Macaca fascicularis: one gene and its partner. The protein of the gene in region 1 purifies or fractionates together with the protein of each later gene. This does not show direct contact. Links are inferred from orthologs where the notes say so. Each region holds a gene or a part of one and is shown in the gene's direction. Other genes may lie near its edges.

Region 1 (3,751 bases):
TACAGCGGGCCCCATTTCAGGGCACTGGGGCTATAGCGCTTGAACAGACAGTGAGCTTGCATGATGCTCTGATTATTAACAAGCTGTAATGTTTTTTCCAACCCAGCCACCCTTCATTATTCTAATTACTCCTTACATATACTTTTGTATATCTCTGCTTCTCTCTTCCCACCCTCCCACCACATTAATTTTGAGCAGTATACTTTAATACTCTAGGTATGATTACCCCAAAGAATCAAGTTAACATACCACCTCCCACATTCTAGGCACTATATAATGGTTATATATTAATTCGTATAACCATGTTTTGCTGGAATTATCTAGGGGATGCAGAAGGGGCTTTATAATTAGCAATGCCCCTTACTTTGACTTGCCCATGGAACCCCTCAAAGCATACTTATCATTAGTAAAAAATTAGACCATCCACAGCATGGTCTTTAGAGACAGAACTGGGCTGGGTCTGCCCCTGAGTAGTTGTGTGATTTTTAAAGTCATCACTTGATCTTCCAGCCTCATGCGATCCCACTGACTATGACATAATCTCAGTGGTGCCCTTTGCTGCAAAGGAGGCTGAGAAGAGCTGTCTTGATTTGGGGCTGCCATATGTCAAACTAACAACCAGGAATCTGTTCGTAGAAAAGATAGGATCTGGGGGAATAAATAACAATCTGTAGCCGTGGTGGCTCCATGCCCTCCTGACAAGGTTCTTCGTGGTCTTTTTAGGCCAGCATATCTTCGTGAATTTCCACCTCCCAGATCTTGCTGTGGGTATCATCTTGCTCATAATCTCCCTGCTGGTCCTCTGTGGTTGCCTGATCATGATTGTCAAGATCCTGGGCTCTGTGCTCAAGGGGCAGGTCGCCACTGTCATCAAGAAGACCATCAACACTGGTAGGTGCACTGCCCTCACTTGTGGGCCTTGAGGGATGGTGTCATCATGGCCACTGCATGAGGTGTGAGGGTGCTTTAGATTCCCATCTAGCAATGGCCTCTGCATGGAGTTTCTCTCTCAGATTGGATCAGCAGCAGAAGTGAGGATGTCATTCATGTGGAAAAGTTCTTGGTGTCCTGGGTGGGGTCTAGGGAGCAGGCCCAAGCTTCCATTGCATGTTGGCAAGGTCCTGAGAAGGAGTTCCTATCTGGAGAACTGTGAATCAGGCCTTCCTTCCTAGTGGATTTCCTGTATGCTCAGGGCTTTACTGGCTCTGTCAAGACCCCTTAGAAAAAGGACCCCAGGTGTCCACCCACACCCCCACCTCCCTTCACTCTTGTGAAGGAAATGTGACGTGTAAATACATCAGCATCTAGAGGTGGCCAATGAGACTGCTGGCCAAGAGGATTTCCTGCCAAGTAGGGTGTCCTGGCCAATGAGAGCTCACTAAGCCAATGACATCATCACTCCATGACAACTCAGTTAAATGTAGCCAAGAAAATTCACCCCCCACCCCAGGTTGTCTTGGGGGAACAGAGCAACTCTGAGTGCTTGTGGGAAATGCAGGGCCTGATCTGGTGCTGGTTGGGTGGAGGACTCAGTTAGTAGGCATGTTCCAAGCTGCTGTGTTTTCCTGATGCTCCTTAAGGCGGACATGAAGGTTGAAGGTTGAATGTGGGTGCTAATGGGAGGCCAGGGCAGGGGAGGAAGCATGCTCTCAGCCCTTTCTGGAAGGAGAGTGGTTACTTGGGTGGGTTCACTCTTTCTAACCTGACCTCCAGGGAGTCTGTGTTTTTGTTTCCATAACACTTACCTGCATCCTTGGTTTTTCCATCTGAATATGTGGAGCAAAAGACAATGGGGAATGAAACTGGATTCTAAAACTCAACTCTGTAATCTGAGACCATATATAGGATGAGGAGGTGCCTGTACAACCTTACCTGTAAGCCCAGCCCCTGCCCTAGGCCATCAGCCCATTCCTTCTCCAGAGAGGCCATGACATATCTTCCTTCTGTCTTCCAGATTTCCCCTTTCCGTTTGCGTGGTTGACTGGCTACCTGGCCATCCTCGTCGGGGCAGGCATGACCTTCATCGTGCAGAGCAGCTCTGTGTTCACGTCGGCCTTGACTCCCCTGATTGGTGAGTTATTCCTGAGCTTCTCGCTCTGGCCACCACTGCCATTTCCTGTCATCCCATGGGGCTGATGTGTTTGTGTTTGTATCCCCCCCAAGGAATCGGAGTGATAACCATTGAGAGGGCTTATCCACTCACGCTGGGCTCCAACATCGGCACCACCACCACCGCCATCCTGGCCGCCTTAGCCAGCCCTGGCAATACATTGAGGAGTTCACTCCAGGTGAGGACTCGGGGCCCCGGGGCAGGGGCCCTGGGGGTGGGACCACACATGGTCTTGCAAACTGGTCTCTAACAAGAGCCAGGCTTTTTCTCTGTGCTGTCCAAAAGATGGAACTGATATGTGGAGGGGAAGCCACAGGTAAAGTTTTCAGGACCTTGATATGAGAACAATCAAAACTATCAGTTCTGAGACAGGCAGTAAGACTCCCATAACTGGTGGTGGTTTCAGCAGAAGTGGGGTGGCCCCTTGATATAGATGTAGAAAGGGTACTTAAGAAGCACAGCCACCACCTCCCATCTCCTCACTGCCTCCTGTGGGGAACTTTACAATTAGGAGAACTCCTTGGCGTGGACCATCTAGGTTACTTTGTGCAAGACCTTTGGGATTTGAATTTATTTGTTTTATTTTATTTTATTTTATTTTATTTTATTTTATTTTATTTTATTTTTTTGAGACAGTCTCGCACTATTTCCCAGGCTGGAGTGCAGTGGCGTGATCTCCACTCACTGCAACCTCCGCCTCCCGGATTCAAGTGATTCTCCTGCCTCAGCCTCCCGAGTAGCTGCGATTACAGGCACCTGCCACCACGCCTGACTGATTTTTTTGTATTTTTAGTAGAGACGGGGCTTCACTACGTTGGCCAGGCTGGTCTTGAACTCCGGACCTCATGATGCACTTGCCTTGGCCTCCCAAAGTGCTGGGATAACAGGCGTGAGCCACTGCGCCCAGCCTGAGATTTGAATTCTTATCTCACCATTTACATCCCAAATGACCTTTGGCAAGTGATCTAACCTGAGTGTCAATTCCCTCATGTGAAAGATGGAGGATATAACCCCTATCTCATTAGGATTACTATAAAGATCTGATGAGGGAAAGCAATCTATGCAACAGAAATAGAAATTCAAGCATATAATATAAATTAACCACATATGTCATCCTAAAAGATTTTAGCAGATACATTTTTAAAAGTAGAAACAGGCAGATTCATTCTTCAATAATGTGCTTGATTTAAACCATTATCACTTTAACATGTAATCAGTCTGTCAAAAATTGAGATATTTGACATTGTTCTTTTCTGGGACTAAGTCTTTGAAATCTAGTGTGTATTTCATACTTAAAGCAAATCTCAGTGTGGACATGCGGCTAGTGTATTGGACAGTGCTGGTTCATAGCCTGGGCATGGTACTTTGCACCTTGGCAGCCTTGGAAAAGTGACTAAGCGCCTGGCCTCTGGAGCCAGGCTCCCAGGATGTGAATTTCCACCTCTTCCATCTCCCACCTGTGGGAGTTGAGGAGCCTCCATTATCTCATGTCAAGAAATAATGATTGACACTCTGTAGAGTGTTTTTTGAGGATTGAGCTAATGCACAGTTGAGTGCTCCTGGCCCTCCCAGACATGTAGTAGGTCCTCATGGAAACCAGGTACCCTCTGGGCTGAACCGCAAAGACAAGGAAGGCCTGGA
Region 2 (2,731 bases), on another chromosome or scaffold:
TGAGTGAAGGGGTGTTACTGTAGAGCAGGGTGGGGTAAACACAGGTAATAGACTAGGAAACAGCCTATCTGAAAGATGCTTTGAAACACCAGGATTTTGATATATTAGAATGAAGTGTGCATGTGCCAGAGAACCAAGTCCTTCCAAACTCAAGCATTTGAAGTAATAGACCAGTGGGGACTTCTCCAGAGTCTGGGCAGGATGATTCTAGTGCTGCCTCTGTGCTGTAAGCAGGGATACATCTCACCACTTGTTTTCTTCTTTCAGATCGATGACCCCAACAGCAATCTTGAGGAGGCGATTAATGAGGCAGAGGCCATCACCTCTGTGAACAGCCTGGGAAGCAAGCAAGCCTTGAATACAGATTACCTTGATTCTGATTACCAAAGAGGACAGCTATACCCGTTCTCCCTTAGCAGTGATCTCCAGGTGGCCACATTTACTCTCACAAATTCAGCCCCAATGACTCAGTCCTTCCAGGAACGGTGGTACGTGAATCTCCACAGCCTAATGGACCGGGCTCTGACCCCACAGTGTGGCAGTGGGGAAGACCTATATATCCTCACAGGCACAGTGCCCTCAGACTACAGAGTTAAAGACAAAGTGGCAGTCCCTGAGTTTGTTTGGCTGGCGGCCTGTTGTGCTGTCCCTGGAGGTGGCTGGGCCATGGGCTTTGTCAAGCACACCCGGGACAGTGACATCATAGAAGATGTGATGGTAAAAGATCTTCAGAAACTGCTTCCATTTAACCCTCAGCTGTTTCAGAACAACTGTGGTGAGACTGAGCAAGACACAGAGAAAATGAAAAAAATCCTGGAAGTGGTTAACCAAGTCCAGGATGAAGAACGAATGGTGCAATCTCAAAAGACTTCTAGTCCCCCCTCTAGCACCAGGAGCAAGAAGTCTGCTCCGTTGCCTCCAGAGGCATCTGAGGGAAGTAGTAGCTTTTTGGGAAAACTCATGGGCTTCATTGCTACCCCATTCATCAAGCTTTTTCAATTAATTTATTACCTTGTGGTAGCAATCCTGAAGAACATTGTCTATCTCCTGTGGTGTGTTACCAAGCAGGTGATTAATGGCATAGAAAGTTGTCTTTACCGCCTGGGGTCAGCCACCATCTCATACTTCGTGGCCATTGGGGAAGAGTTGGTGAGCATTCCCTGGAAGGTGCTGAAGGTTGTGGCCAAAGTCATCAGGGCTATTCTCCGGATCCTTTGTTGTCTGCTGAAGGCCATTTGCCGAGTTCTGAGCATCCCTATCCGTGTCCTTGTGGATGTGGCCACTTTCCCTGTGTATACCATGGGCGCTATTCCAATTGTATGCAAGGACATTGCACTGGGCCTTGGTGGCACTGTCTCACTGCTCTTTGACACTGCTTTTGGTACCCTGGGTGGCCTATTTCAGGTTGTTTTTAGTGTCTGCAAGCGGATTGGCTACAAGGTTACTTTTGACAATTCTGGGGAGTTATAAACTCAAAAAACTAATAGTATCCAGTCACCGTGAATTTGAAAGCTGGAATATTTTGTCTTTACAATGGGTTTCTGTTCACTGTCAGTTATCATTATATTTTGGCCTTTGGTGGGGATGTCTGCTTGTTTTTGCAAAAGAAGATGGCAGAATTTAGACTTGACAGAGGAGAAATGCTCAGGGTGAGATTAGGTGTAGTAATCTGCTGTTTACCTCCAGTTATGTGTGCAAACTCCCAAGCCACTAATAACTTCAGTTATGCACTCTGACATAGATGACCACCTGAAACGCACTGGTATTTATTTCTGATGATTAAAAATTACAAGAGAGGGAAGAATTAGAAAAAGAACAACTTTAAACCAAAAGTGTCTGAGAAAAGGACAAAGGGAGCTTGTTCTTCCCATTGCTTTTTGTGATTTAAGGCAAAACAGATAAAAAAAAATTCTGCAGCCAATTTCTCAGCATTTGCTTATCTTTCTCCCCAATTTAACTGACCTTGGTGGAATGCAGATAATGCCTCTCTGTTGAAATGACCTTGTGGGGATGTAGAATTTTCTGTATCTCTTAGCTTTTCTTGGCTCTCGAGGATATGTACAGTTTTCATTTTCTCCAAAGTTGAATTTTGCTACATTTTTCTTTTAGGTGATTATAAGCACTTTTAAAAAAATCATTTTTAGGTAATGGTAAGCATTTTATGCCGAACGTGGCGTAACAGAGTTTGAATTGAAGGGCAAAGGGTTTTTTTTTTTTTTGCACCTTGAATAGTATAATACAGTCCTCTCAGATGAAAAGAAGAGAAGAGAAGGTGGACAGCCCTGCTGTTAGTAGGTGCTGCAGATCCAAGGACATCTTTTGCCCAGCTTGGATTAACTTGACGTGTCTCCCTGCCTGACAAGGTTGAACTGAAAGATCCATATGTTAAGCTAACATGAAAATTCATATTCTGCAACATACTAGATTTTTCTAATGCATTGAGTAAGTACCTAGTACAGTAAAAATACTCTGACTTATGTCCCTAAATGGTTGTTTTGGTACAACTATATAGAAAAGAGCCACAAAATAAAGATAAAAATTATTCTGGCCATCTCTGAAAAAAATATATAAAATATTTAAGAATAATTATATCTTAGGAAATTATTTTTATAGTGTGTTTGAGGCTACAAACATAACTCCCCCATTAATACAAGTGAAATGTGAGAGCTCATTCTCAAAATTTTTTTGATCAAGCACTTGTCATTTTAAATCTTGCACTAAAAAATGTAAC

Evidence for each region.
Region 2: the proteins of SLC34A2 (region 1) and ENDOD1 purify together in Homo sapiens (co-immunoprecipitation; 3 studies listed by BioGRID and IntAct, counting the BioPlex papers as one, with this or other methods). This does not show direct contact. The link is inferred for Macaca fascicularis from reciprocal best matches to the Homo sapiens genes SLC34A2 and ENDOD1.

Annotation. Positions count from the first base shown.
Region 1 is NC_088379.1:24,799,039-24,802,789, forward strand, and holds part of SLC34A2 (sodium-dependent phosphate transport protein 2B), read left to right. Parts: intron 1-723; coding exon 724-891; intron 892-1,954; coding exon 1,955-2,071; intron 2,072-2,163; coding exon 2,164-2,288; intron 2,289-3,751. UniProt on the Homo sapiens protein: Involved in actively transporting phosphate into cells via Na(+) cotransport.
Region 2 is NC_088388.1:94,141,311-94,144,041, forward strand, and holds part of ENDOD1 (endonuclease domain-containing 1 protein), read left to right. Parts: intron 1-267; coding exon 268-1,470; 3' UTR 1,471-2,731. UniProt on the Homo sapiens protein: May act as a DNase and a RNase. Plays a role in the modulation of innate immune signaling through the cGAS-STING pathway by interacting with RNF26.